Linked DNA regions of Mus musculus. The protein of the gene in region 6 interacts with the protein of the main gene of each other region in a pairwise test. Links are inferred from orthologs where the notes say so. Each region holds a gene or a part of one and is shown on either strand. Other genes may lie near its edges. The genes, in order: Ppfia2, Gse1, Wwc1, Akap6, Dixdc1, Cdc5l and Pde4dip.

What was found.
Region 1: the proteins of Cdc5l (region 6) and Ppfia2 interact in a two-hybrid assay, tested with the Homo sapiens proteins (2 studies listed by BioGRID and IntAct). The link is inferred for Mus musculus from reciprocal best matches to the Homo sapiens genes CDC5L and PPFIA2.
Region 2: the proteins of Cdc5l (region 6) and Gse1 interact in a two-hybrid assay, tested with the Homo sapiens proteins (2 studies listed by BioGRID and IntAct). The link is inferred for Mus musculus from reciprocal best matches to the Homo sapiens genes CDC5L and GSE1.
Region 3: the proteins of Cdc5l (region 6) and Wwc1 interact in a two-hybrid assay, tested with the Homo sapiens proteins (2 studies listed by BioGRID and IntAct). The link is inferred for Mus musculus from reciprocal best matches to the Homo sapiens genes CDC5L and WWC1.
Region 4: the proteins of Cdc5l (region 6) and Akap6 interact in a two-hybrid assay, tested with the Homo sapiens proteins (2 studies listed by BioGRID and IntAct). The link is inferred for Mus musculus from reciprocal best matches to the Homo sapiens genes CDC5L and AKAP6.
Region 5: the proteins of Cdc5l (region 6) and Dixdc1 interact in a two-hybrid assay, tested with the Homo sapiens proteins (2 studies listed by BioGRID and IntAct). The link is inferred for Mus musculus from reciprocal best matches to the Homo sapiens genes CDC5L and DIXDC1.
Region 7: the proteins of Cdc5l (region 6) and Pde4dip interact in a two-hybrid assay, tested with the Homo sapiens proteins (2 studies listed by BioGRID and IntAct). The link is inferred for Mus musculus from reciprocal best matches to the Homo sapiens genes CDC5L and PDE4DIP.

The regions. Positions count from the first base shown.
Region 1 is NC_000076.6:106,833,731-106,837,736, forward strand, and holds part of Ppfia2 (liprin-alpha-2), read left to right. Parts: intron 1-1,965; coding exon 1,966-2,049; intron 2,050-2,321; coding exon 2,322-2,453; intron 2,454-3,550; coding exon 3,551-3,613; intron 3,614-4,006. UniProt on the Homo sapiens protein: Alters PTPRF cellular localization and induces PTPRF clustering. May regulate the disassembly of focal adhesions.
Region 2 is NC_000074.6:120,561,347-120,565,352, forward strand, and holds part of Gse1 (genetic suppressor element 1), read left to right. Parts: intron 1-1,279; coding exon 1,280-1,479; intron 1,480-4,006.
Region 3 is NC_000077.6:35,977,412-35,982,055, forward strand, and holds the start of Wwc1 (protein KIBRA), read right to left. Parts: upstream 3,117-4,644; 5' UTR 2,679-3,116; coding exon 2,560-2,678; intron 1-2,559. UniProt on the Homo sapiens protein: Regulator of the Hippo signaling pathway, also known as the Salvador-Warts-Hippo (SWH) pathway.
Region 4 is NC_000078.6:52,887,572-52,891,577, forward strand, and holds part of Akap6 (A-kinase anchor protein 6), read left to right. Parts: coding exon 1-492; intron 493-4,006. UniProt on the Homo sapiens protein: Binds to type II regulatory subunits of protein kinase A and anchors/targets them to the nuclear membrane or sarcoplasmic reticulum. May act as an adapter for assembling multiprotein complexes.
Region 5 is NC_000075.6:50,724,847-50,729,568, forward strand, and holds the start of Dixdc1 (dixin), read right to left. Parts: upstream 3,139-4,722; 5' UTR 3,000-3,138; coding exon 2,940-2,999; intron 1-2,939. UniProt on the Homo sapiens protein: Positive effector of the Wnt signaling pathway; activates WNT3A signaling via DVL2. Regulates JNK activation by AXIN1 and DVL2.
Region 6 is NC_000083.6:45,430,682-45,435,347, reverse strand, and holds the start of Cdc5l (cell division cycle 5-like protein), read left to right. Parts: upstream 1-1,640; 5' UTR 1,641-1,912; coding exon 1,913-1,957; intron 1,958-4,666.
Region 7 is NC_000069.6:97,689,460-97,693,465, reverse strand, and holds the end of Pde4dip (myomegalin), read left to right. Parts: intron 1-731; coding exon 732-870; intron 871-1,098; coding exon 1,099-1,145; intron 1,146-2,612; coding exon 2,613-2,654; 3' UTR 2,655-3,638; downstream 3,639-4,006. UniProt on the Homo sapiens protein: Functions as an anchor sequestering components of the cAMP-dependent pathway to Golgi and/or centrosomes.

The DNA.
Region 1 (4,006 bases), on a different chromosome or scaffold from region 6:
TAATAACTTAAATGACTATAAACTATATAGCTTCAATTACAAATTACAAACTTAAATCGCATAATTCACACAACTGCTTTGCCAAGTCGCTGCACTCTTTTAAAAATATGACTTGCAAATATTAGATGGCATAAAACAAGTTGGAAAGGAGAAAGTTCTTACAGAAGACCTGGGCTCAGTCAGTTCCCAGCACTCACACAGTGTTTATAAAATAAATCTATGAGACAGGAAATTATAATTTAATATAACAAATTTGAAATGTTAAATGTTATTCCTTAGAGTAAGTTAGAATTTGTTGTATAAAGTAGCACAAATGCATGGTCACTGGTCACTATTTCTTTTCAGATACTGTATGAACTGTTTGCATATAGTCCTCTTTACTATTTCAGCATGAGCTAATATCATGTCAAAGGATATGTTTTAGAGTTAAAATTGTATTCCTGACATAAGACTGTTTTGGTGTCATAATTATTTAATGTGTAATTATAAATTAAAATGTTGATTCAATGTTGCGTTTGTGCATAACATGCTAATACAATTCAGCTATAGCAATGTCCCATGTGTTGACACTCTACACCTGTGGTTTCCTGACAGCAAGATATGTAACTAACCTCAGACAAAGAGTCTGTGCATCCTTTTCACCCTAGGGAACTATTTTGTTTCCATAGCAACAAATTATTGCAGATGCACCTTGGTGTGGTCCTTCTTGTCACATTGTTTTTGAGCATTCACAAAGTTTCTTGTCCTTATGACATTATCATTGCATAATAAGTAGAGAAGTTTTAATATTTTCATTTATTTGTTTTTTTTAAATTACACTTAAGGATGGGATCATTGTATCCTAGAGCAATGCACATTGTGTACAGCAGTCATCTTTTATATGCAGCTCTGTTGCAGATGAAACTCAATTCAATTTGAATTAAAGAATATTCATAATAATATATACCGTTGGCTTAGTGCTATCTCTAATTTCTACATACCAGGTCTTCTATAATCCTGATACAAATATGGCACTCCTGAGTCATAAGGAAATGCAGTTGAGATGTAATATTTGCATCAGGTTTCTTTTCCTAAGTACATGATAAAACAAAACTAAGATGTTCTTAAGTATCTATCAGAGATATTCTAGTGTTTGGTTTCTCATAATTCCAGTTATTACATGTCATTTCTAGAGTTGCTTTAACTCACCCGGTAAAAGTCCATTACTGCCAGCTGTCACTAACCCTTCATACCTCAGGTTCACAGCTTTTGATGTGAGCATATCATTGTCTTCCATTTATAACCATCAACTGCATTATCTTCACCAGATACCAGAATAGTGTATTAAAGTATTGAATTTGCCGTCACTTTTATTTTAAGCATTCTGTACTATGTTCTGTTTGGTGTCAGTGTCTTTAGTTCTGATTTTTTTCAATTTTGTCCTTCTCCTTTTCCTTGACTTGTTAGTCTGATCCAACCTCTTCTACCTCATCTGATGATTATCAATATGTTATGGAAGCTAAACTACAGGAAATGATCTCCATACGTAGGAAGGTAGTCCTAGTGGACTTTACTTTCTATTGCTGAATAGAATCCATCTAAGTTTTTTTTCTTTTCATTTCTATAAAAGATTATGTTACTTTTATTTATTGATAATCGACCATCTGTGCAGTTCAGTGCTTCAGGAGCTTAAGATTGGACAATGGCAGGTTTGTGTTCAAGCCATGCACACTCTGCATGTTACATTTGGCTGACTCCATTGCTCATAAATAAGTCCAGTGTTCTGCTGATGCTTGGATGGAACAGGCCCTTGTTAGCTGACACATTTCAAGCGATGCTGTTCAGCTGCCTGTTTAAAGAAAGTTTATGTTTGGAAACTAAGTTTGCAGTTGGCAGTAGCTTGCTTTACATTTTATTTCAGTTTGTTTGGATGGGAGGCATTAACTCATTTTACATTTTGGGTCCAATCTTTGTATTCCTTAACAGGCTGAAGAGAGGCATGGAAATATTGAAGAACGTATGAGACACCTCGAGGGCCAACTTGAAGAGAAGAATCAAGAACTTCAAAGAGTATGCATGAAGCTTTCCCATCTATCATTAGTGTTTTTAAATTTACAGACTGCATATAAGAGGAAAACATCCCCTGCTAGAAGCTGTGCTGACATCATTTGCCTATGATCTAGGCATTTGAAAGAAAATAGTTTCTACAACTTTAACCAAAAACATGCATAAAATTACATTCAGCATAAAACCCACAAAACTATAAAATTAAGCTTGAAGAGCAATGAGTTTTATTTTACTGTGCCGAATATATATTTTTTTCTCTTTTCCTTAACTATAAGGCTAGACAAAGGGAGAAAATGAATGAAGAGCATAATAAGAGATTATCGGATACGGTGGACAGGCTTCTGACAGAATCCAATGAGCGCCTGCAACTACACCTGAAGGAAAGGATGGCTGCTTTGGAAGAGAAGGTACAGTCTCACACAGGAAGAGCATCACATGGATGCTTTGCTCTATTGTCTAGGTTGTAACTGCTCCTAGCCAGCTGTACTCATTGTTTGCATCAGGCAATCAACCTGCTTTCCTTAGCCTAAAAGATCCTCAATACAGTCTTAGTGAGTTACTAACTTCAACAAAATGCTATAACATCATTTATTGAACAAATTATCAGATGGCACATAATAAATACTACATATTAGTATGTTTATAAGAAACACATGTATGAAAACATGCCAGAATACATGATGAAATTTTCACCTATCTTCTCATTGTTTGTTAAATATAGAGGAGGACATAAATAAATATTGAGTGTGTGTTTATTTGAAATTATTGTGTGCTTAATCTGCCTAATAACCACCAACACTGCAAGCCAAGGCATGAGAGGCTATGTCAGGTAGAAGAGTAATATTGTAATAGATAGAGGCTTTTAAGCCCTCTATTTGTAACTGCATTGTTTCAAGAAATGTGCTTAAGTTCAGCCTGAAAATTGATGCAAAAATCATGCTTGTCATGTTAATAACTAGAAACTATCACAATAATCAGAATTGTTAGAGATGGTGACCAAACTCAAAATAAGACAGAGACATAAACACTAAAACCTCAGAAGCACAAATTATTTCAGAAACCTAAACAGAATTTCACTCACTCTGTTCTTGAGGCATTTTCCATGTTCATATAGTCAAGCAAAATGTTTTAACACAATGTTAGCCAACTTTGATTTTTTTGACACATTAGGAAGTCGAAGCATACTATGAATAGTTGGGTAATAATTGAATAGATTAATTCTTGTCTACAATAAAGTCTGTGAAGAATCAGAGTAATAGCTCATAGGGTAATATGTATGTTGTCTGTCTATTCAAGTGTAGCAAAGTAGCATTTCTTGTTTAAATAATTTATTTTGCAAAAGGTTCACTATTACTTTTAAAAACTTCAATAGAACTTGGTTTCCATAGAAACCAGGAAATATATTTATCAGGGAAGGAATCATAAAGGTTTTGAGTGTTAGAGTATTCATGTACATATTTAAATATTTTCAGCATATTGTTTCTTTCTTTTATCTTTTCCATAGAATGTTTTGATTCAAGAATCAGAAAACTTCAGAAAAAATCTTGAAGAGTCCTTACATGATAAGGTATCATGGAAACACATATTTTTATTCACATTCATGAATATATTATAAAATAAATGCAATAGAAACAGTTTTGTGTTGGATTTTAAATCAGTTTTCACTCATTTTAGCATAGTTTATATTTATGTAGATACTGAAAAGCTTTTGTCATTGAACACATTGCAAACCAGTACTCTGAAAACAATCCATGTTAGCTTAAAATCACTATCAATATCTTGTTTTGGATCATATTTATTACTATATATTCACTACAGTTTGTGAAGTTATGGAAGTTATTTCTGAAAAAAAAATACTGTTATATTTAGTTGGGTTACTAAGTATTTTCTAGCATATTCCTACTTCTGGAGTAATTTAAAATTGGAAGAAGAAGGACATATTAGGAGCACTGATTTAGAA
Region 2 (4,006 bases), on a different chromosome or scaffold from region 6:
ACTGTCTCTGAGCAAGGAGGTTGCATCCCACGCTGTGTGCTTGACTCGGCTTTTTCTGTTCCATGTGTCCTCTCGTGAATGTGGCTGAGGGCCTTGTTGGGGCATTCCTGTATAGAATAGGCAGGGCTGGGACTCGGTATAGCCCAAGGCTGTGGGCATGATTCACAACAGACCGCATGGACTTTCTCCGGGGTGTTTAGTTGACACTTTTGGACACATACAGTGACGGGCATTGCAGGCCTAGGGTGTGGCTTTCTGGCCCCTTGGCTTTCTCAGGTGCACAGAGGGATACCCTCCTACTGAATCTAGGGAGGTATAGAATGCCACGCCCTCCCTGGCTCCTGAATGGTAGCTCGCTCGTGCCAAGGTTCTTGGTCAGTCCCCAGGTCTGGCTGCACCAACCGGTAGCTTGCCTCCATCAGCTCCCAGAAGCTGGCCTCCCGAGCCATCGTGTCTCTGAGCCTAGCTGCTCTCCTGTGCTTTCTGACTGGCAGGTGCTGGGCGGTCACCGTGCTGGGTTCACACTGCCCAGCCTTGGGGCTTGCTGCTGCCCGCTACCCACTTGAGACTAGAGAGTTCTCAGGCTGTAGGCAGTGGGTGTGGTGCCCATTGGAGACCTGAGAGATTCTTCCCTAGGCTCCAGCCTTCAGCCTGATTGCTGAGGTCAGGCCCTGGTAGTCATGTGAACAAGAGGTGTGCTTGGCTGGAACTGCTCGGGGCACTGCGCTGTACAATTACACAAGTTACACATGGGCCTCCGCAGTCAAAGAGGCCGTGCCATGTGTCCGCAGGTAGCATGATTGTCCCGGGAAAGAGGGGGCTATGTTAGTGACAGAGACCATCCCTCACTACCAAGTTCTGTTGGAACCGACACTCCCAAGAACTAAGCTGCCTCACTACCGCCACCTACCTGCCCCTCTTCCCTTTTGCTGCTGGGGGTGGTTGGCAAGGGAAACACATTGCTTCTTTCTGGGGTCGTGAGGCTGTTCTGGGTATAGTAGCATTCACTCAATATGGCCGATCCACCGGAGGTACATTGACGTGGTTTTAAAAGAGTGAGTGACATCTCAGATTTTTTAAGTGTAAAAATAGCTCTCCACCTCCACGCCTGAGAGGCAGTATGACAAGGGAGGCCACAGAATGGCTGTGGGTCCGTCCCTGCCTGCCCGCTCTTGGGCCTCACTCCCCATGAGCATTCTGGAATGGCAAGACGCGTGGGCGCGGTGGGTGGTGGTGTGACACACACAGGACCCTGAGCTGCTTCGTTCTCTTTCCGCAGGGTCCTCACTGAGCAGCGAGTCATCTCCAGTGTCCTCTCCAGCCACCAACCATAGCTCTCCAGCTAGCACGCCCAAACGAGTGCCCATGGGCCCCATCATCGTCCCCCCCGGGGGTCACAGTGTCCCCAGCACTCCCCCAGTGGTCACTATTGCCCCCACTAAAACCGTCAATGGAGTCTGGAGAAGCGAGAGCCGCCAGGTGAGTGGCGCCGCCCAGAGGTGTGGGCGTGGTGGGGGTAATGGGGATGGAGGCGGGGTATGTGGGGGTGTTCCTGCAGGCTGTTTTCTGTCCACAGCTCTGTTGAGAACTTGAGTTGGGGGCGAGGTTGACCTCTCACCCTGGTCCTCAGACTCTTCTGCTAGGTGAGCTTGATACGCACCCGGTACTGGAAGATGCTAGGATTAAGGCAACCCTTACATCAGACTTGTGACAGAGTACCACAAATTCATCGTTGCTTGCTTTAGGAGGCCAGAGCCTCCCTAAGCCTGGGGAGGGAGGGGGTCGCCAAGGCCCTGCCCCTTTACACAGTGGTGTCTTATTGTGTCCTCTGGTGGCCTGGACGGCAATCACTTCTTTAGGGGTCTACATACCCAGAGGCACCAGGTTGAGACAGACAACAACCATAGAGTGCCTTGGATCTTTGGCTAGACAATAGCTGTGACTGCTTTGGAGGAGTAGGGGCGGGACTGTAGGCTAACTCTGATGGTCCCTGATGCCAGCCAGCACCGGGGTCCTTGTGTCTGCAGTCTCTAGCTGGCCATAACCTAACTGCAGTGGAGGAGCCAGCCCCAGAGCTTCCCCTGTACTGCTGGGCCTCCCGGCGGCCTGGCAGCCTGGCGCCTAGAGGGGGCCTTGCTAATTAAGAACCGCTGTCAGCTGTGGCTTTCCCGGGATTCTCCAGCCCCATTCCCAGAGGGTTTGTACTGCTAGGAAGTACTAATTAAACCACAGAGATGGAGGGGGAGGGGAAGGAGAGCACCTCTCCCCGCTGGGGCAGGGCAGGATAGGCAAGAGTGTGAGTTTCATCTGCCCTTCAGGTCTGATTGGTGTCCCCAGTAAAGTGCTTGGAGCATCCATCAGGCTCCTGACTGAAGCGTGGGGGCCAGCCTTGGCCCATTCCTCCTGTGGCTGAAGTCACACTTAACCCTGGGAAACCTGTCTGAGCGATCCTGTCATCGAATCTCAGCTCAGAGCAGCCTAGACCCACCCTGTCCTGGCTTAAGAGAAGTCAGAGAAGTTGCCACCGCCAACCATCTCCTGTCTGTGGACTCCTGCCAGAGCGCAGCTTTGACCTCAGACAATGAGTCAGCTGATAAAAACCCCCATAGAGCTTCCCTTCCCTGGGTAACCAGCTTGCCTGGTGACTGGCTTTGCTCCTGAGAGAGAAGCTGGTGGGAGGGTCACTTCCTGTTCCTGCCTTGGGCCCCGGAGCTTCTGCTGACTGGAGCCCCTGGCCCAGGTCCAAGACACTTCATGTATTGTCCCCTTGGAGAACTAGGAGGTTCCAAGTGCCTCTGCCTCGTGACTCCTCTGCCCGGAGCCTGTCACTATCCTCAGAGGATCCTTACTGCCTCAGAAACATTTAGTAACCCGGAGAAGGGCTCTGATGGCTCTGCTCCAGCAGTTCACGCTGTGGTTAACAAGACCTGCTCGCCACCAGGGAGACCGCCACCGCCACCGCCACCGCCACCGCCAAGCACACACACAGTGGATGATGCTCAGAGCTCAGCAGAGAGTTTAATCCTTTCCAGGAGGGCGGGGGATGCGCTCTCCCTGTAGTGTGGCCATGAGTCACTAGGGGCCTCTGGAGGCAACATCCACTGGTTGGAAGTCAAGGGGGTGTGTGGCTCCAGGGTGACCAGGCAGTGGAAGCCGCGTGAGAGATGAATGAAGAACAGTCTGGAAACTAACGGGCTCATCCCACTTGACCAGCTGTGGAGACCTCACTCTAATCACTGGAGAATGAGAGTTCTCTCCTTCCCAGCCGCTGCCTTTCATGGATGCAGCTGTGTCTTGGAGCAGCTCTGCAGACATATCTTGTCTGCCACAGCTGCTGCCAGGAGGGTGCCCTGGGGCAGCCACCATGCCGGGGCTTTTTCTGTCCTTGTCACCCAGGCAGCACCCTGCCCCACAGATGGCCTGGTTAGCCAGGTTCTAGTCAGAGAGGCCACAGGCCTGAGGAGGGCAGCAGTGTGCAAACCCCCCTTCCCCCCACCCCCCCAATTGGCCTGATGACCATTTTTTCTTTTCTCTTTTTTTTCTCTTTTTTCATCTTTGGGGCTATTTTTTGTTTTTTGTTTTTTGGTTTTTGGTTTTTTTTTTTTTTGGAGACAGGATTTCTCTGTGTAGCCTGGCTGTCCTAGAACTCACTCTGTAGTGCTGGGATTAAAGGCATGTGCCACCACTGCCCAGCCTGATGGCCATTTTTCTAGTCTCCTTGTTTGTCCTGGTGTGAGTGGGATATGTGCCCCCACCCCACCCGCACCCTGCCATACACACCTATACGGTACTGTGTGAATGTTTCTCCTGAGGAGGGCAGGTCAGAGGTCATGAACCCATGAGGACCCCACAAGGGAACAGAGACAGCCTGCTGCTGCACCCAGGGAAGGAAACAGATGTTGCTGCTCATTAAAAATTCAATCAGCAGCCTGTCTCCCTCAATTAATCGTGGCTGGCTGTCTGTGGGGAGCAGGAGGGCTTGTGGTAGACTCTGTGAGAATGGAGG
Region 3 (4,644 bases), on a different chromosome or scaffold from region 6:
GCTGGCCACAAGAGTGATCTGCAGCCCTGACCCCAAGCTCGGGGCTTCATAGAAACTCAGTGCAGGCGGGATGGAGAGGCAGGCAAAAGTAAAGACTGTGCGCAGCTCCGGCAAGCACTGCTATGGCTGTGACATCTCACCAAGGCAGTCTGCTGAACGCAGAGGTTGCTGGGCCTGGCCTGGTGCAGACGGTGATTCATAGTAAGTAGTGTAGGCAACGTAGAGGTGTATCTTTTTAAAGATTCTTTTCTATTGATGGCACTAGAGATTGCTAGTTTCCCATGAGTAAAAATGATAAAAAAAAAAACATTTTTTAATGACTTGGTGTAAAGGCAAGCATTAAGCAACAGTTCAGGTAGCCAGAAAGCCACACATGTGGCACACACCTCTACAACCTGGCATATTATTACCTTCTAGTCAAATCAGTTCTTGGGAAGCTACCCACTTGCCCTCTTCCAAGGGCAACGCATGACTGGCATTTTTTGAGAAGTTTTCTATGTTGTATTATTCTCTCAGATGCTCGGTCATCATCAAGGCTGGCAAAGCAGTGCTCATCCACAAACACAGCACCTTGGCTCACACAGCACCCTGTCTCACACAGCACCCTGGGCTCACACAGCACCCTGGGCTCAGCTGCAGGGACTTATGCTGGAGGACACATAAACTTGAAGTTGTCTGTTCTAAGGGGTAACAAGTTGCCAAGCTTCCCAACACAGTTACAAAGCCCCCTGGAGTACCTCGCTCTGAGAGGCCTGGGGAGAACTAGACAAGATTAGAGGTTAAAAGGCAGAGCACAAGGACAATTTGTAAGTGGAAATAGCCAAACACTAGGAGCAAATCACATCTCTGGGTTCCAGATTTTTCTCTTACGTTTAAACACGGGGAAATAAGCTGGGTAAAGTGGTGCTCACTTTTAATCCCAACCATCTGGAGGCAGAGGCAGGTAGATCTCTGGGCCAGCCAAGGATACCCAGTAAGATCTTATCTTGAAGCAATACACAAACAAACAAGCAAGGGGAAATTGGAGTTGATAGTTGGTGAGATGGCTCGTGGGTTAAGCGGTTTGCCCCTGAGCCTGACCCCTGACTTTGATAAACGGAGGCTGTGAAGTGGAAGGAGCTACTAGACTGTAACAATTGTCCACCCACCTCCATATGCACACACACTGTCAAGCAGGCATACACACCGTTATTAAACACACACAGAGAAAGAGAGGGGGAAGAGGTGGAGTGAGGCATGTGGGAAGGAACTGGGCTTGCGTTTTCTAAAAACTTTCCAACTTTTGGGTCTCACTGTGTAGCCCTGGCTGGCCTGTCTGTCTAGCTTCTGAGTTTCCACTATCACTCCTTCCTTCCCAAGCAAACCATTCATCAGACACAAGGGGAAACTGAGGCCAAAAGATCAAAGCAGCCTGTCTAACACTCTGTAGTACTAGCGCTGAGCAGAGTAGGAACTCAAGAAACGATGAATGAATGAATGAATGAATGAACGAACGAACTCATGAGGAAGTGAACTCATTGCTTCCTACGTTTTTCTTTAACCCTCATCTTGCTATACACCCCATTCTGGATGTCTCAGATCCCCTTCATCTGAACCCCATAAAATGAAAGGCTCAAAAAATTCATCCTGGGTGGCTTTACGTGCACCAAACCCCCAAGGTCACAGACCAAGTGAAAATCTAACATTCCTAGGATACTTTGACCACACTCCTTCTTGGCAAAGGACGACTCCCCTCCTTCCTGGGCAGATGTGGGCCAGGTGTGAGTAACTGAAAGTGGGAAGGAGTCTGGGATGATAAGACTACCTGCCTCAGGAAAAGCTCATGCTACGCACACCCAGCGAGGTGCCCACCAAGGTCAGGATTGTGGAGAAGCCTCTGGCCCCAGAAGGAAGGGAGGAGAGGAGGCTAGGGCAGGCAGGGCTTTGCCAGAGGCCTCTCACCTCTATCTGCATCCTAACAGCTTCCAACTTGCTGTGAGATTCCTGGAGAACCAGTCTCCCTCTTTTGCCCTCCCCCGCGCTCCCTCCCTCCCCTCCCACCTCCGGCTTCCCCAGACTTGCTCCAAAGCTTTTCTCGGCAGCCAACGAAGCACCTGTCAAAAAAGCTGCTTTCTCTTCGCCAGAATGTCCTTCCTCCAGTAGTTTCCCAGCGACCCGTGGGCTCCCTACCACCCCTCCATGCCAGATCACCCCTCCTCAGCCAAGGGAGTTCCCAGGGAAGATTCGCTTCATCTGGTTTTGGTCTTTGCCTTCACCCTGGCCAGACGTCGCTTTCTAAATGAGCCGGGGACCCTGCTAGAGCTTAAGGTCAAAACTCTGGGCAGGTGCTACAAGGGCCTAAGTCCTCCACCTGGGACTGGCTGCCGGCAGTCTGCTTGGCGTCCGCCCCTCTCTGCAGCTCTTCAGAGCTTTGTACTCCTGTACAGCTCAAGGAGGGGTGAGGATGTAGAGGGGGCAAACTAAGACCTGTTAAGAGACACGCAGAGTCCCCCTGCACACTAAGGGCAGGTGCGGCCCAGGCGCGGTGCCGGGTCCGGGTCGGAGCACTCCGGGTCCTACCTGTCCCGCGGGTCGATCCAGCTGGTGGTGCGGTTCCTGTGATCTATGTAGTAGACCTTGCCGTCGAAGTCGCGCGCCTCCTCCCAGCCCTCCGGCAGGGGCAACTCCGGCCGGGGCATCTTCCCGAGCCTGGCCCGCGCTCCCCCATGCAGCTCGCAGCCGCCACGGGGCTCAGCGGCTCGGGCTGGCCGCTTTGGGTCCAGGCGGCCGCCGAGGCAGCATGATCGGGGAGTGGCGCCCACGGATCGGGGGCCCTAACGGGGGCCGGCCGGGGTGGCGCCTCTGTCCATGCGGCCCTGCGGCCCCAGCCCCACGCCGCCCGCCTCTCACGCTGCCATGTGCGCCCGCCGCGGCGCCCAGCCGGCCCGAGTCCGCGGCCAGCCAGCCAGGAGAGCGGCCCGAGCCGCCGCCTGCCTGCCCCTGCCGCTGCGCGCTGCGCTCCACGCCGCCGCCGCCGCCGCCGCCGCCCGCAGCCTCTGCCGGAGCCCCGCCGCGCGCCCCGAGACTTCTGCCTCCGCCAGGTGTGGCTCCGGCGGTGCAGGTAACTGCGCTGCCCCGGAAACGGGAGGCGGAGCGCCGGGCTCCAGGGTTCCCGGGTCTCCTCCCCGCGCCCAGCGCGGCGAGGGCGGGTCCTAGAGCCCGAGACGCGCCCCCTCGTGGGACAGTCCCAATCGCCGACCACCCCGTTCTGCCCCAGGAGGCTAGGCTCTCTCTACGCCAGAGTGTCCGGGCTCTTGGCGCGTGTGGCCCCAAATCTTGACACACCCTGTTTTCTGTGATTGAGAACCAGGAGTCAGGCAAGAAGTGGTTAAGTGAAAACATTCTTGCAAATCGGCGAACATAAGTTTTCCAGGATCTCTCGTCCCTTCCCCCCCAGCACTCACACCATCTGTCTTCCTCCTATTCAGTTCTCCCCGTGTTGTTTCAACCCTCCTCTCCGTAATTTGCAAATGTAGCTGGCTTTCCTTAGGGTCCCTAAAATTAGGAATGCTATGGATCTGCTTCCTAAGAGGACTTCCAGCGGGTGGCAAGGGAGGAGAAGGAAGGACATATTTTGCCAGTCATAGTGAAGTGCACCTGTCTCTCGGCTACTCAAGAGGCTGAAGAAGGATTACTTAAATCCAAAAGTTCCAGGCTGAGTCAAACTAGCAAACACGGGGGGGGGGAATAAATAAATAAATAAGGAAGGAAGGAAAGGGAGGGGGAGAGGGAGAGAGAGAGAGAGAGAGAGAGAGAGAGAGAGAGAGAGAGAGAGAGAAAGAGAGAGAAGGAAAAGAAAGAAAGAAAGAAAGAAAGAGAGAGAGAGGGAGGAAGGAAGGAAGGAAGGAAGGAAGGAAGGAAGGAAGGAAGGAAGGAAGGAAGGAAGGAAGGAGAAAAGAAAGGAGAAAAGAAAAGGCAAACCCTGAAACAAGAATAAGTAAATGTCTTGAGACATTAGCAATATTGAATTAAGGGGAAAAAGTTCCCTCTTAGGTTTGGTGTTTCCCCCAGTGCAAATGTAACTGTGCCTGAGGCAGGAAACTGGACTGGAAGAACGAAGTCCAGCGCCTTGTCTGAATCAATCCCTTAATGTGGGGAGTAACCAGTTAACTCCCTGTACTGTGTGGGGATCCCCTGTTTGATACACAAGGCGTTTTAGGGTGGGCTCCTCAAATCTAAATGCCCTGAGGACATAGGGGACGGGTGTAGCTCCTCCTCCATCCCATCAATATTATACTTCGAAGCCAGGGATCTCAGATCTCAGGGAGGTCCTCACCACCCACCCAACTGCTGGGGAGTTCTCCCTCCAGACTTCCTGTGATGGGCAAAGCCTTCACAATTATAAGTACTTCTAGTGCCCTCCTTCCCCCGTTCTGTTAGGATCAAACTCCAGGCATGCATCCTCACTGAACCAAACCAGCCAATCTGTTTTGAGTTTTTGCCTGGGAGACCTCGCTCTGCCTGGCCTTATACTATGGTTATCTCCCCTTCCTACCTCTGCCTCCCAAGTGTGAGATCACAAGTGTGAACGAACCATCACTTCCAACACGTGCTGATCTGATACGAGGCTTGCGTTTTCAAGTATGATCTCAGCTAATCTTCACG
Region 4 (4,006 bases), on a different chromosome or scaffold from region 6:
CAGGTGGTGGAGGCCTGGTACGGCTCTGATGAATACCTAGCGCTGCCATCTCACCTCAAACAAACGGAGGTGTTAGCTCTGAAACTGGAGAACCTAACCAAGCTTCTACCCCAGAAACCCAGAGGAGAGACTATCCAGGATATTGATGACTGGGAACTGTCTGAGATGAATTCAGACTCTGAAATCTATCCAACGTACCATATCAAGAAAAAACACACAAGGCTAGGCACCGTCTCTCCGAGCTCATCCAGCGACATAGCCTCATCTCTCGGGGAGAGCATTGAATCTGGGCCCCTGAGTGACATTCTTTCTGATGAGGACTTATGTATGCCCCTCTCCGGCATGAAAAAGTTCACTGATGAGAAATCAGAGAGACCTTCATCCTCTGAGAAGAATGAGAGCCATTCTGCTACAAAATCAGCCTTAATTCAGAAACTAATGAAAGATATTCAGCACCAAGATAACTATGAAGCCATCTGGGAAAGAATTGAGGTAAGGTTAGTTTTAACCTAGTGATTTCTTGTCTGGGTTTTAAAAATAATTCCAGGGAAGTAGTCACCTCCTTCCCATTCTTTATCAAATATGTTAAGTTTTCAATTAAACTTTAAATTCTTCAAAGGAAGAGATGGAAAAACAATTCTATCCATCCCAGGAGCCTTGACTGCTGTAGAATTCTGTTGATCCTACTCAAGCTGAACAGGGTACCTGACAAACGGGCGGTTGCTGGGAAACAGCTTACAGCAGTCACGGCACACACATGGGATGCGCATCCAATGCAGACACCCAGTGGGGCATCACAGTGACCTTCCACACCTCTAAATCTCCTTCCTTAGCCCTAGAGTGACTCTCGCTCTCTAGCACCTTCTGTTGGAAAGACCACTCATGTCCAACTTACTAACCATCCCTGTTTTCTCCCCTCCTCTTCCTTTTGGGGACCTGTGGCTTATTTCTAAACCATCTCTCACATGCACTACGTGGGGGATTTTGGGAGAAGAGATTTGATTTGGGGCAAATCTGTACTTTTGGAAGGAATTATTGGATGTGATAGGACCTTTGAAGACAGACATCAGGACTCCATAATATAGCTTATGGTTTTATTCTCCAAGAGGCATCTAGACAAAGATTGACTTTCTCTAGAACTCTGTTGGAAATAGGTCTAGATAATTTTATCATTATTTCTTTCCATTGGAATAAAATTGTCCATACCTTGCATAATGTGTATAGCTCTTTACTATGTATAAAAATCTTCCAGATGCACGTTTAAGCCTAATTCTGCCACTATGCAAGGAGGTTATCTACAAAATGAATTATTCTTCTATACTGATAGAAACAGAGGTTTGGTAAGCCTAAGTTAGTTTTATAAGCTAACTAACTAGGTTGACAGACATATCAACTGGATGATACTTTTGCTTGGAAAGCTAAGATGCAAATCTGTGTCTTTTGATTCTTCATCATTTTTACTGTTGCAGTGTTAGAAAGATTTCTCCTGCAGGGAAATTTTAATGGGAGAGGAAAACAAGATTTGGTAGAGAATATCACTGTAACCCTGGGTCTGCCCAGGTACTTCTCTTGTCTTTTATATGTTCATTGATGAACATTATCAGACTAGGCACTGCTACAGTACAGTGCATATGGACAGAATAACCTTTTTAAATGAAAAGTCAAGTCTATAAAAATAAAATTAGCATAAATATATAATAGTTATGTTTCAAATAATTGTCACCATACATCAAGTATTTAGGTATCTGGTCCTCACCACAATCCTGGCATTAATTTCAAATGGGGTTAATTAATTGGGGATAAAAATATAGATGAGGAGACAGAGGCTGAGAGACACCAGGTAATCTCTGGAGATAACACCGCTGACTTGATCAAATTCTCAGAGCTGTAAGTCCAAAGTCAGGACTTGAATGCAGAGCCAGCCTTACCTGAGCAGTGTGCACCACGGCTCCCGGACTGGCTAGAGAAACTATGGCGGCCTTGGTGAGAACCAGTGTGGAGTCAATTTTAGGGGCTTCTGTGAAGCAGAGCAGGAAGTGGGGTAGTGTCAAAGAGGGAATGCAATCAAGCAAAGGAGTCTAGGCCTTGCTCGGCCACCAAGGGCTCTGAGGCCGTTTTCCCATTGTCACTCCCTGGTGTTCCCTCTGGTCCCTCTGAACCTCACAAAGCAGAAGATAGACGACATGCTAATGGCTGGTTCACAGGAAGGACTAGTAGACCGTGATGGAACTCCCCAGGACAATACCTGCATATGGTACCCAGCATCTCAGCTCCCAAGAATCCTCAGATGCCCTGTCACTCACCTTTGTGTCTTTACACTGATATTGATAGGAAGGATTTCTTTGTAGTGTACTTTTATTTTTGCTCCTTTGAAACCCGTTTTTGTTTATTTTTTGAGATTATAACTTAATTACACTTCTCCCTTTCTGTGATTCCCTCCAAACCCTCCCAGAAAACCTCTTCCCACTCTCCTTCAAATCAATGGCCTCTTTTTTGCATGCGCGCATATGTGTGTGTGTGTATACATATATATTCCTAAATATAACCCATTGATTGAGTCCATGTATTGTTTCTTGTATCAATGCTTGCAGGACTGACTGGTACTGGGCAACTACTTGGTCTGCTCATCCTCCCGGAGGAGCTTCCACCCCCAGTATTACTCAGCTGCCTGTAGCTCTTTGTGTAGGGTTGAGGCCTCATGGGCTCCCCGCCCCCACCTCCACCCCATTTGGAAACCCATCCTTTTAATAGACAGCATATTTACATAGTTTAGGAACTTTATTATCCATTAGCTCTCCCTCCACCTCTGGACCCTGTCTTGGGTTCGGACCTCAGGTACCTGTTGTTACTTACAGGCTTATGTCTTTTAACAAGTTCTTATTCATTTGTAAGCAAGAGCAGACATTTTTGTTAGGTAATATTTTAAAAACCAAGAGTCAAGTTGCAACCCGTCCTTCATAAATAGAAGCTCCTTTCTGTTTGTTATTATTATTATTTCTTGACGTCTCTAGGATGTTTGGGGGGAGGGGTTTATTAACTCTCTATGACTTACCAAGAATTTATGGTATAGGTAAATTGATGGAGGATTTCAGGTTAGAGTGCCCATGACTCTGCACCATGAACTTTCAACATAAAGTTAAGAGGAAACAATTAAATCAAGTCACTGAAGCAGTTTATTTTTTTCTGATAAACACATGAAATGGAATAAAAATAATGAGGAGAGTTAGAGAAGGGAGTGCCTAAAGCAAATGGACTTTAACCTAGGTTAAAAAGTGACATGGTGGCCGGGCGTGATGGCGCATGCCTTTAATCCCAGCACTCGGGAGGCAGAGGCAGGCAGATTTCTGAGTTCGAGGCCAGCCTGGTCTACAAAGCGAGTTCCAGGACAGCCAGGGCTATACAGAGAAACCCTGTCTCGAAAAACCAAAAAAAAAAAAAAGTGACGTGGTGTCTGGACCCATACCTTACATGAGTGCACGAGCTATATCACAAAAGGCAAGTCTAGCCTGAGCCCGTGTATTCCTAGTGCTGCTCTGTTTGTTGGCTAACTTTATTTTGTTCTATTTCTTCTTAGAATTACCGAGCAATTAAACCCAGGAGCTCTTACATGCTAGGCTAGGCTGAGCAGTCGAACCCAGGGCCTCTTACATAGCAAGCTAACACCCCACCACTCAGTTACATGCCTAGTCTGTTTGTAAAGTAATCTATTATCGGAACACAGTCATGCTTTTTTCCCCCTGTGGATGTTTCTGCTTTGTGATGATAGACTTGAAGAGTTATGACAGAAAATATGTAGCCTGCAAAGAATGAAGTACTTCCTGTCTGGCTGACGGGGGAGCCAAGTTCCTGGCTTCTGCTCTTGATTGAGGAGGAAACAGGGAAACTCATTTCTGAGTAGCATATATTAAATGCCAGATTCTGCAGTAGGTCCTCTCATGTAATTTATATAACAACCCTATAGAAGACCTGTCCCACAGGACCCTGATATAGCTGTCTCTTGTGAGGC
Region 5 (4,722 bases), on a different chromosome or scaffold from region 6:
TCTGTGACTTCTTTGCCAAGCCTGCTGACTCTAGGTGGGACTCTGCGTGTGTGTGTGTGTGTGTGTGTGTGTGTGTGTGTCTGTCTGTGTGTGTGTCTGTGTGTCTGTGTGTATGTCTGTCTGTGTGACTGAGATTCTGTCACACACGGTTATATTTAGTGACATATGGAGTGAGAAGAGACCAGCAGTAAATAGAGGGAAGCCTTGATTCAAAGGGCAGAGCTTCTCTCTGCTGCTGCTGGCTTTCCTTATAATTAACCAATTAGGGCCATATCCCTGCTTCCTGTGGGAGTTTTCTCTGCCGTGGAGAATGAGGCTGCAGCCCTAGCCACACAGACCTATAATAAGCCATCTGGGTGATGAAGGCTAGCTTCAGATACTCTTAGAATAATCCCCAAGAGGTGGCTGAATAAATGTGTGGTATTCTTAGCCTCAGTACAAAGACTTTCTCAGAGGAATTAAGTGTTTTCTGACACTATCTTTTAAGTGCTCAGTTACAGTCTTATCATATGATGCTAACAAAAGAGATTGATTATTACTGGGTCTATTAAGCAACCTTGAGTCTGGAAGATCAAACAGGGCTCCTACCAACCTTCCCACTGACTTTACTCAGACTGTTATTCACTAGGATGGCTATATGTGATAGTATATGTGGAGGGAAATGAAGAAAATGTATTCTGTATGTGGAAAGATTTACGTTAACTAAGGGATCATTCAAATTTAACCTATTCATGATATCTGTATTATTTAGAGGCACAAAATCAAAAGTGCTGTTTTCATTTTCAGAGTTCAAATCGACTAAGGAGAAAATGTACATTGGTTTGCAGAGAGGGCAATTTATGGGATGGGTAGACAATTCCAATATCAGTGAGGCCAAGACACATTGCTGAATTGTTCTGAATGGAAGAATTGATTATAAAGTTGTCTGAGTGTTGTTTTTAGGAAGACTCCATTACCACCACAGGGGGTAAAATTACCTTCCACTCTCCTGTCCCCTTGTTTTGGAAGAAGTGAATGTTAGGCAACATTCATGTACAGAGACACAGAAATGACAGCCAGGCCGCTTTGTTCTTGTGTGGGTCTTTAGATGAAGACTTAGAGATGGAGAAGCAGCAGAAAGCACGGACGAGGACTTGGCTCTGTGCCAGCTGGTGTCAGAAGGTGGGTTCTGACACCAGTGAGCTGGGCTAAAATAGAAAAGGGGGAGAGGCCAGGAGAGGACCAAAGGAGGTTTTACCCCGACTAGTGAATGAGCAGGATTTACGCAGAGAAGGAGCAGAGAAGGCCCTGGGGCTGAGAGTGAGGGTAGATGACTGAGAATCCTGCAGACACTAGAAGAGGTGTGCTTCCTGGCTTTTCTGTGTTCACCTCTGGGTCTGTAGCTCTTTGTTAGCGATTCCCTTACATGTGTTCAGTCAAGAGTGATGGGAAGACGAGGAGGCCTGCCGGGCAGGCAGGATACAAGCTCTGCCCTTTAATGAAGGTTGTGACACCCCTCAGCCAAAGGAAAATTCCAGCACAGTTGGTCACAGTGGCAGAATGTTTCCATTAGATTTTTTTTTTTCTGTGTGTGTCAGGAATAAGGCTGGGGCACAGGGGCCAGGACTGGGGAAGGTTCTAAGGCAGGTCAGAATGTAGGATCTCCTAATTAGAAACAGGGATCAAGGGGGAAGCCTGCCGTGCAGCTGTAGAAAAAAAAAAAACCTACATGGAAATTCATGAGAATAGCTGGTTGCCTCTAGGGGAAAGGTTGGGAAGGGGGTGAGAGACGGCAAGGGCACAAAGGCTCGTCCATCTTGTCCATAATGTTAATATTTAAGAAGAGAATGGGTTTAGGATGTAGCTCAGTGATCAAGCCCCTAGTCATACTGCAAGGTCCTAGTTTCAGTCACCCCTGCACACAGGGCTGTTTATATTATCTGACTAAAAACTGATTCTAAAAACACAAGGGCTGTTGTAAAGGGTGGAGGAGTGGAGTACTGGTAAAACACCTTGGTAGCATCCCCAAGGCCCCCACCACACACACACACACACACACACACACACACACACACACACAATCTGAAATTTAAGAAACCCATAGAGAAGGGAAAGGTGAACTGAGGGAAAAGGCAGGAAGCCATGACCAATAGCTTATGCCTTTGCGGCTGCAGGCCTAAAGCAACCAAAGGATGACTGAGGAGCAAACAAGAGTAGCCTGAGTCACAAAAGAAGCAAATGGAAGAGGTAACAGAATTCTGAGAGAAACTTTTGAAGAGAAAACAGAGCCTGCTTGGGTCAATCCTGGCCCACCTTTCCTGTCAGGTTGCAGCTCCCCACCACAGTTCTCACAGAAGGGAATCACACTAATATTAGCTCCTGAAACTGGGCCTGAGGCCCAGGTTGGTCCTCTCAGCCAACCTTGTCCTCCTCAGTGGTGGAGAAATCTAATGTGCATGATTCAGGAAATTCGCACGTGGATGTGCAGGATTCAGGAAATTCACCCCTCATGTGGACCACCCACAGTCTCCTACCCTCTTTCAAACTTTCTACCAATGCCACGCCACCGCACCCCTCCCGTGACTCATCCGCTTAGCGCCTGAAATAGAGCTCTGCCGCATCTGTTCAGGGCTTCCCTCTAGGATGTCCCTGGAGAGTCCCTGGGAGGCGTGGGGACCACCTTTTCGGCAAGAAGATGCCTTCTGAGTCCGTAGTCCTGCCTGCCCTTCCCACCTCGGGAAGGTACTCAATCCCTCCAGTTTAGAGGAGGCCCACCGCCTTTCTGATGTCCTCGGGTTGATGCATCTGCACCACACCTACCTCCTTGACTCTACCACCCAGGCTCTTAAATGGGCTCCCCGGGAGGATGCCCCTCACCGCCCCCCAGGATTCCCTTCGGGAGATTAGGCGGGAGGCGCGGGGTGACCGGGAGCTGGGGGTGGGAGGAGCAGGGCAGTTACCTCATTGAAGCCCTCTTGCAGGACGTCCAGTAAGTTCCCGCGGGTCAAGCAGGCTAGCATTGTTCCTGCCGCGGGGCTTCCCGGGTGGGGTCACGCCACCGTCTCTTCCCTCTGTACACAAAGGCGATCAGCTCAGCTCCCTGGGAGCTCTCTGGAGTCCCGCATGCCACTTACTGGAAACCTAGACCCGAGCCAAACTAGCGGCTTGCACTGGGCATGCTCGCGCGCGGGCTGCAGCCGGAGGGGCCCGGCGCTGTGCTGGTTCCTATAGAAACAGCAGGGCGCGCGCTGCGCACAGGCAAGAGGCGCTAGCAGGCAGCCCCGGGTCTCCAGGGAGTGCGGGGAAGCCGTGGGCGCGCACGCAGGCTCCGCACGGGTGCTCGCAACGAGCATTCACACACGCGTGAGCACACACACACATCCGCGCTGACACAAGCGGGCTTGCCAGCCTGAGCATATGCCTGCAATCACTACACTGCACGTTTGGAGGCGGGCGTCCCCGAGCGTGTGCACGCACATACACGCACATACACACACACACACACACACACACGCACACGCACACGCACACGCACGTACACACACACACACACACACACGTATGTAGTCACTTTGCTCATTTAAGGCTGCAAGCACCTCATCACAAGGTGGGTGGGGAAAGGAGTGAGTCACAGGATTACCCCACCCACCCCTTACTCCATTCTCCAGACTAACAGCAACCTTTTTCCACGCAGGGCTTGAGAGTGAGACAACCAGCAACCTTTTCCCACTCGGGGTTGGAGAATGAAGCAATTTAAATAAGAGGAAATAGAATGACAAGAAATAACAATAAAAAGGGGCCAGAGGAGAGAGGCTGGGGCTGGGGCTCTGTAAGTAACTGTAGACTATAAGTAACTGAACAGCGCTAAACAAATCATACCATCATAATAGAAACGTCAGAGGCACACCAAGGATCTTCTATCTTTTTTACAAAATAAATGCTAAGGGGTAAGATTGGGCACGATGGCTCAGGGGATAAAGGCTCTTGTAAAAGCTTGACACCTGAGTTCAATCCTGGAGCCATGCAAAGGTGGAAAGGGAGAACTCACATCTCTCGGGCACAGGCACACATTACGCTCACCCCCCCCACACACACACTAATTAATTGGTTTTATAATAAAATAATTTCTAAGAGCCAGCATGGGGGTATACACCTATCATATGCATGCACATACACGCGCGCGTGCGCGCGCGCGCACACACACACACACACACACACACACACCAGATCAACACTCTAGAGGTTCTAAGTCCAAAGCTAGCCTGGTCTATATAGCAAGTTCCAGGTCAGCCACATATAGTTCCAGACCATATAGATGAGACCTGCTCTTGAAAGAAAGAAGGAAAGAAAGGAACACATACTTTATAAGTGAGTTTTAAAATAAAGCACCAAGAATGCCCTTGTACATTGTCAGGTAAAAGCATCCACCCTTGGGTGTAACAGAGCCTCTTTCTCGTGTGGCCTGGCTGAGGTCACAGCTCTGATGTTTATTTTTAAGAACACTAGTCATTTGCATGCTTGGACTAAGTGATCTTAAAAAAGAAAGAAAGAATGAGAGAAAGAAAGTCCATTTTACATTCCATCTTGTGATCCTAGACAAAAGGGAGAAATTACAGTGTTAAGACCCAGAGGAGATCAGAGCCTTGTCCAAGGACACAGCTGGTCAGGGACACGCAACTCAATAATCAAGGAATTACAAACCATTTTCTAGCCATCCTGTATCTCCCTCAGACTCCATTAGGA
Region 6 (4,666 bases):
AGGACTAATTCACATAATAAAAGGGGCAATATTGGAGCATCTGACTTGAATCCACACCACAGACAAGGATAGATCTCAATAGGTTGATGAAGTATGTTCTGTTGTCAAAATACCAATCCTTTGTAACAATTTTCTAGCAGGTGACATTAACATGTTTTAAGGAAGAGATACCTTTTTTAAAGTTAGCATAAAGATGACAGAATGTTGAGTGGAAGAAGTCACTGTCATGATCCTTTGGAATAGCCTATGTGAAAGAGGACTGGTTCAACTGTGGATTTATTAGGCCTCTCGATTACAAATAATGGAAAGCTAACTTCAATGACTAAATCCAAAAGGGGGATATGGAAGTAGTTACGACTTGGGAATGTTCTAGATCCAGGGACCATGTAGTTCAAAATACAATTGTTAGGTGCCACACAATTGGTAGGTTAGAGGCTTATCAGCTAGCAGAAACACTGACCTCTTTTGGATCCTAGCGTTAAGATCCCCAGAGAGGAGTGTTCAGATTTGCTTTGATCTGGTCAACCAAATGGTGTGTGACCTGGGTGTGTGGGATAAAAACCATACAACTAAGTGATGTTGGCAGGAGGTAATGGTTACACATCTTTACAAGAGAGCATTGCAAAGAGTACCAGAGGCAGAAAATGGCTTGTTAACCTGTCATCCTGTCAGATGACAGGAGTGAAATGAGATTGTAGGTCACTAAACCCAAGTGTTCTTCATAACACTACACTACCTCCCTCTCAACTGAAAGCAGTGATATTTTGATACAATTTCCTATTTCAAGGAAAAAAATCGTAACAAAAATCGAATCGGAAAATCCGTCATGTCTTCTAGAAGGGGCAAACGGAAGCATGAACAGTGACAACAAACCAGAGCCGCTATGCACGGAATAAAATCTTTCCCTAGGGACCTGGGGTGACACCAAGTAATTAATTGCTCTGGAATAGTGGAGAAATCTGCGTGGGAAAAGAGAGAGGAGATGGCAGAGAGTCTGACAATTTCCACTTCACCGAGACTTTGTGGACTCGCAGCCGCCCTCTGATTTGATGAACAAGTTGTTTGTTCCACTCTTCAGAGGACGACCCCGGATTCCAGGGGCGAGACTCCCGCAACTCACCGAGTTTGTTCCACAGACACCCAACAGCGAGGGATGAGGGAAAGCGGCTGACGTGACGCTTCCCAAGGGTCCCTAGGGCGTCGCCTCGAACCCCTTGTGGCTCTTCCAGGAAGGAGAGCGAACACTTTGGGGCGAGCAGTCGCTCAGTCCCTCAGGTTAGAGTTAGGATCTTGAGTCCGTCCGGCATCCTCGGCGCTTGGCGCTGCGAGTTGGAGCTCCTAGAAAGAGAACGGACTCGTTTGCATCTCCCCGAGGACTCAGCGAAGTCCTCGTCGGTCGCCGGGATGCCCAGCGCAGCGCTCCGTTAAACAAACAGACAAACAAACAAGCAAACAAACAAACAAACAGCGCTCCCTGGGGACCAAGCGTGCTGAGGAACGCCACACCCCTCACATTTATTCCCCACCCCCGGCACTGCCCTCCGCGTGACGTCAGGACCAATCCCTTCACTGCGTTCCCGGTCAAGTTCCAACTCTGGCATCTCGCGAGAGTTTTGTTTTCCTTCACCCTAGTCTCGGACCTGCGCGCGACACGTCGGGCGCCTTGGCACCTGCGGTTTGATTAGTCTCCATCAGTCTTAAGGTTGCAGCCTGGCCGCCCGCGTCTTTTGCCTTCGGCCGCTAAGATCTCGCGAGATTTCCCGGGGCTGCCCACGCCGCGCCTGCGCAGAGCTCTTCAAAGCAGAAGGTCGCTCTTGGGAGGAAGTGGCCTTTTGCGTCCCGTGCCCGGAGCGCCGTTACTACTTTCTCGAAGCTCTCCTCGGCTCCCTTGCCGGGACACTCTGCCGCTAAGATGCCCCGGATTATGATCAAAGGGGGAGTGTGGAGGAACACGGAGGTGAGGCAGCTTTTCCCGCCGTCCGCAGCCCTCCGCCGGCTCTGGTAGCGTGTGCGCACGCGCGGGGAAGCTCCGGGAGCCGTGGCTGTCCCGCGGGGGTCTGCGGTGCGGGGCGGCGACTGCGCGGACCCCGGGGACCCTCGCGGTGCATGGGTGCGGGCTCGGGTCACCTGGCTCACCCCGGGGGCGAGGTCGCGACTTGTCGCCCGGCGCTCCTCGCTTGGCATTTGCTAGGCCCTTGATCACTTATTTGATCAGTTAGGGACGCGCCCCCTCGGTGTCTTCTGCAGCCCGGTGGCCGCCGACCGGACCTCCCCCGGAGCCTGGTGTTTCTCCAGCTCCTTTCGATCTCAGCTCGTGCACAGCGCTTCGCTCTGTTAGAAGCCGTTGTGGCTGCAACTTTGTTTTTTCCGTGACTTCTTTACAGCCGGACAGGCTGCCCGTTTACGTCTGCACCTCTCTGCTTATCTTAGGACCTGGGTCCTTTCTCTTACCTTTCCAGTCACGCCACCCTTGCCGGGATAGAAGCCAGTTAGGACAAACTTACCTACGGTGGTGTTTGCGTCCAGAAATGTTGTAGATTATGTCACGGTGAGCGGAACAGCAGAAGGAAGGAAGTAAAATAGAAATTAAGTTAACGTGCATTTAATCGAGTGCGCCGAATGTATGAGCACCTTTCCGTCTGTCTTGTGCGTTCTTGAGATAGCTCCTTATTGCTTTGGCATCTTTCTGAACATGCTCCAAACTTAGCTGAGAACACTTCTTAGAGTCCTCCTGGCCCATTCGTTGGTCGTCCCGTTGAGAGTTAGTTGTTTAGTGGTTTGGTGGCACCTATTTTTCATTTACTACAGCTTTGTTTTCACAAGCACTTTTGTGTGGCTCCGGCTGAGTTACTTCTGAGAGCCTCAGATTACTCATTTTTATAAGACAAATAAATAATTGTATTTAAGCTCTTGAAACGAGTTGCCAGTTTGGAACATTGTGAACGCAGCTGGGTACATTAGTAGGCTTTCAGTAAAAAAAATGAGTTGCTGTTGTCTTCATCAGACAGCAGTATAGTAGGACCAGGCTTTGGCATTCTAGTATGAAGCAGGTTTCTTGGTGATGTTTGGGAATGAATCTTGTAGGATAGGTACCTGTTGTATGTATTTGGTTGAAGATGCGTTGAAGTTTTGAAAAACTTTACCAAAGTTACAAATGGAGGCACTGAAAAGGGACTTGCATGCACTAAGACAATTTAAACTAGAAGAGTTGGCTTCTGAGGAAGAAGCAGAGTCACAAAATCAAGTAACATCAGGATTCCTCTATAATGGCCAAAACCCAGCAGAGTGTGTGTGTGTGTCTGTGTGTCGATGTCTGTCTGTCTGAGATAGGGTCTTATGTAGCTTAGATTGACTTTGAACTTGCTATGTAGATGAGAGTGACCCTTAACATCTGATCCTCCTGCTTCTACCTCTCCTGTTCTGGCATAAGAGGTGTGTACTGTCATGTGTAAAGTCTTATGGGAATCTAATCCAGGACTTAAAGTATGCTAGGTGGGTATGCTACCAGTTAGCAGTGGGAGAGAAGATGGAGTGGAGGGTTTTATGTAGAAGACAGGCAATTCAAGTTCATTGTAGAAAAAGCCTAAAAGTAAAGTGCTCAAGTGCATTCATCTATGACTCTTAGGTCTGTGAGCTCGCGTGGCAGGATGTCTGGGGATTGGGCTATACTTTGGGTACTCTGGTGAAATGGTTTTTAGAGATTGGAGTAGGTAGACAGGGCGCTGACTGATGAGGTAGAGGAGCTGTGGATCCTGGGCTGTTGTGAGTAGGATGCCTGCCAGAGAGGAACTGTGTTGAACCAGAGTCTCAAGTTTCTTCTTTGATTCTCTCTCCAGAAGTATAGAAGACCTGCTTCAAGGTAGATAGTCAGGAAATTTTTTGTTCTTGTTTTGAGAAAATATATAAATGTATGTGAACTTTGTGAGGAGAATGGCAGGTACATGCCAGTGAATAATTTTGTCTGTCATAAAGTAGTGTTTTTAACATTGACTTTTTCCACCTCCAGTTTGTTGAGGGCCAGGTAAGATGTCCTTTTTTTCTGTTTTTTTTTTTTTTTTTTTTTTTTCTGTGGCTGGTGAGCCAGCAGTTAAGAGCACTGACTGTTCTTCTGAAGGTCCTGAGTTAATATCTCAGCCAACCACATGATGGCTCAAAACCACCTGTAATGAGATCTGATGTCCTCTTCTGGTGTGTCTGAAGACAGCTACAGTATACTTATGTTTAATAATAAATAAATCTTTGGGCAGTAGCGAGTAGGGGCCTGAGTGAGCAGAGGTCCTGAGTTCAGTTCCCAGCAACCATATGATGGCTCACAACCATCTACAGCTACAGTGTATTCATATACGTAAAATAAATAAATAAATAAATAAATCCTTTTTTTATTACATATTTTCTTTATTTACATTTCAAATGCTATCCCAAAAGTTCCCTATACCCTCCCTCCCACCCTGCTCCCCTACCCACCCACTCCCATTTCTTGGCCCTGGCATTCCCCTGTACTGGGGCATATAAAGTTTGCAAGACCAAACTGGGTCTCTCTTCCCAATGATGGCCAACTAGGCCATTGCCGCAGACCCTCTGGGCCCCTTTGTCTGTGTGGAACGGGTCTCCAGTCTCGGGTGGGCAAAGCGTCGTATGGAATGACAGACAGATGCACACAGGAGAC
Region 7 (4,006 bases), on a different chromosome or scaffold from region 6:
AGCCACCTCCTGGGGTCTGCTTGTCTCTCAGGTGGGCTATGGCCGGCAGATTGGTGGACAGAGGTATTTCGAGATCTGTCCTAGACTCCAGCTGCAGATGACTGTTACTGATGTTTTTATGGACCCAACTGTGCTAATCCAAGGTGCTTTCACATCTCCGTGGTGGCAGATATTTGCAGACTCCCACTGTCCTCAGGCCAGTCCCACCTCTTCAGATATAACATCCCTGAACTCCTAAGTCACTCATGACAAGGAATTGAGGATTTTCTACCAGACTAAACAGAGCTCTGGCTTGCGGTTGAGATTTGGTGTTGGCCTAGAACAGGGTTCTCCCCAGCAGGCTTCAGTTTCCCTCCCCATTTCTGTCTGGTGGCCTGGTCCTCAGCTGTCTCCTGCTGGCATTAGGGGAGTTTGTTTGTTTGTTTGTTTGTTTGTTTTAAGATTTCTTTATTTTATTTATATGAGGACACTGTCACCGTCTTCACACACACCAGAACAGGGATCCCATTACAGATGGTTGTGAGCCACCATGTGGTTGCTGGGAATTGAACTCAGGACCTCTGGAAGAGCAGTCAGTGCTCTTGACCCCCTGAGTCACCTCTCTAGCCTACTAGGGAAGTTTTAATGACAGGAATTCAATACTAAAGGTTGGGAGATGGCAGCACTTTGCTGCCAAGTCCAGGGTGTGTTCAGCCTGGTGACTGTTGTCTGAATCTGTCCCTCTTCTTCAGGGACAACTGATGGAGAAAGAACTCTTGGACCTGCGAGCCCAAGTATCCCAACAGGAACAGATCCTTCAGAACACTGCTGCACGTCTGAAGAGGGCCAACCAGAGGAAGAAAAGCATGGAACAATTCATCGTGAGCCATTGTAGGTGTCCCTGGAGGTGGGGGGCTCTTCCTGACACTCAGTCTTGCAGCAGATGAACAGTGACTAGAGGGACTGGAGGGACTGAGAAGTAAGGGTGGGGATAGAGGGGGAGTGGCTAGCAACAGGCCACACCCAGTAGCTGAGACCCTGCTTTAGGTAGTGCATGTGCCCAGCAAGCCAGGCTCAGCTGGTAATTTGCACGTCTGTGGGGCTGTTTTATGTTTCCAGTGACTAGGACCCATGATGTCTTGAAGAAAGCGCGGACTAATTTAGAGGTAAGGACAATACTGTAGCTCTGAGCCACAGAGCCTGCCCACCACTCTCATCCTGTCTGATGCCCCTGGCTAGCTGACATTCTAAAAGGTTTCTGGTTCGGTGTAGGGTGTGGTCCCTCAGCAAGTCCCGCCTCCCTCTCCTGCCCTCTCTGCTTGCCCTCATCTTGTGTCCTCTCTCCCTTTCTCTCTAGTTTTCTGTCCTTTATGTGGGATGGGTAGGCCAGGAAATGGAGTGCAGTTGCCTCCTCTGGAGGGCAGAGGCACTTGGGGTCTGCCTGTGAGACCTGCTGTGCACTCACGTTTCCTCAGGGGCTCCATAGACAAGAAGGCAGAGGAGAGCCTTATAGACGGCCCTCGCTACACTGTGAGGTGGGAAGCATCCTTGTCTGTAAGGATCCAAACAATCCTTATCTTGGCTCACTGATGCAGAAGGAAACCTGAAAATGAACACTGCCTCTTGAGGGGGAAGATAGCCAATCTCTGGCTGGTTCTCTATGATTATCACAAATGCTAAGTGTGGCTGGCCTCTTTCCCTGGCAGCAGTGTGAGAAAAGACTTGGTGCAGATGATGTGGCGTAAGGATCAGAAACTATCCTCTGAGGGTAGACTTGCCACTGCCAGCGCAGCTGAGCCTCTCCTCAGACACTTCCTAATCGCATCTGCCGCAGTGCTAAGGCCCATGCAGAAAGGACAGGGGGCTGGGCTGTAATGTAGGACACTCTTTTGTCTTGGTCTAATTTCCCTTCATTCTCTGACGACTCCTTTCTTTCCCGAGCCTCTGTAACACAGCACTTAGGAGATTGCCGCTGTGCAGCCATATTCCTGTCCCAGCAAAGGTAACCCAGCAGTCTTTGCGACACTGGCCCAGCCTGCGGACGCTTTCCTCTCTGTTTCCTTAGGCCCCTGGGAAGGCTCTCAGCACTGGGCCTGTCACTAACTGCCTGTGTGGCTTTGGCTGGCCCCTTCATCTCTGTGATTCTGCTGTCCAAGTCTGTCATGGTAGATCTCAGCTCAGCTCACCTTCGGGGGCCCTGCTGGCTCCACCCCTTCTCAGATAACTGGGACATGCATTTACCAGGAGGACTTGAGCGGCTCTCCTCCTGCACAGGCTCCTCTCTTGCTCAGCACTTCTTTCTTGGGAGATATAAAAGACCCTCTTGGTTTCTTTTTGCTTATTTGCTTCGGACTACTTGGTTTGGAACATGACCTGGCTCCTGCAGGGAGCTGGGCAGGGTCTGGCCACTCAGTGTACAGAGGTCTAAGCCGCAAGAGTCCAGGAGTGGGAAAGGCTTCCATCTAATCTGGGCTTCAAGGGCTTCTCCAGGCCAGCACTCCCACCCCTACTCGCTGTGCTTGCTTACCCTCCTAATCAGGCTCCTAGCTTCCAGCAACGTGTGCCCCTCACTCCAGCCTCCAGCGGGGCCTGGACACTCATGCTGACCAGGTTTGTTTTCTTCTTGTCTGCAGATGAAATCCTTCAGGGCTCTGACGTGCACTCCGGCCTTGTGACCCTTGCCTTCCAGGAGCCACATAAGGGGCGGAGCCAGAGGTCCTTAAAGGAGCAGGAAGGGTGGGCCTGCCCACCTCTTGTGCAGCTGCCTATCTGCTGAGGACTACCTGGTCCACTCCTCCCCTGCTGGAGGTCCACAGAAGGACCGAGATATGTCCACATGGGACAGGCAGGAATGAAAGTGGTATCCTGGCAAGCAATGACTATGATTAGCCAAGGCCCACTGGGCCCAACACTAAGCAAAACTCACGTAGACTGTGTAGAAGCCCTCTTGGCACTGCTTCTAGACAGCCTCTGCAGCACGGTGCCCACCTTGTTACAGTTCTCACCTCACCATCTGCCCTCAAGATAGCCAACTCAGGGGAACTAGGACTTCACCGCCCACAAACAGGATGTGTGGTCCCAATGCCAACGCTCCTCAGACAACTGTAAAAGCACACACCATTGAGTGGCACTGCCCTGCCGGACATTGTTGGCACCCAACAAACTCCCCTCACAGACCCACTCTTGAGCCAGGCCAGTCCTATGGGCCAAGCCTGGTAGTATGTTGGTCTCTACCACCACACCAGAGGTCTTTGAGTCTACACAGTGAACGGAATGTGGTAACTTCTAGGTGCCCCGCACTTAGCCTAGCACCTTTCTTACATGATCTCAAGTTGAACCGACTTCCTTAACTCTGCTGTCCCCTGTAATCCTAACTTCCCTTAGGGGAATTGGGGGCTACTGGTGGCCACATCATGCCTATTGAATGTCTAGCGTACAGCACAACAGTGCCTCTTTTAATAGCATGGGCAAGGTCTGTTCTGTACTGAAGACTCTGTCTCCACAGTGCTCATCGGATGTGGGTGTGTGTATAAATGTATAATATAGATTTATATATGTTGCTATGGCTATATGTTGAAGGCCAACATGATGTGCAGACTGATGGGTGAGAAGACGCTGAGCAGTCTTTCTGATGGCTATTAAAGCAAACTGTGTATAAAGAAATTATTTTCCTTTGCTTCTCACTTCTGTACCAGTTCCCAGAAAAAGGATATGGAATATGAAAGACATGCTGCCATCTGTGCGCCCCCCCCCCAGTGTGCACCTTATCTCAGAGGGTCTACCAGAGACCCCGAGTGTGAATCCTAATCCCCCCATGAATTCCACTTCAACAAAATGAAATAAATAGTCGTGAGCCAGGAAAAACTCACCAAACTGTAGGCACAAGTGTGTGTTGGTGGGAAAGGCACCACCCACAGAAAGAAGATAGGCCATAGGACAGCCACAGTAGGAGATAAAAACTGCAGTTCTTCTTAAGGAAGTTAGGTGTGAACACATCTCTGATAGTGAGGAGGGGAACGTGTTTACA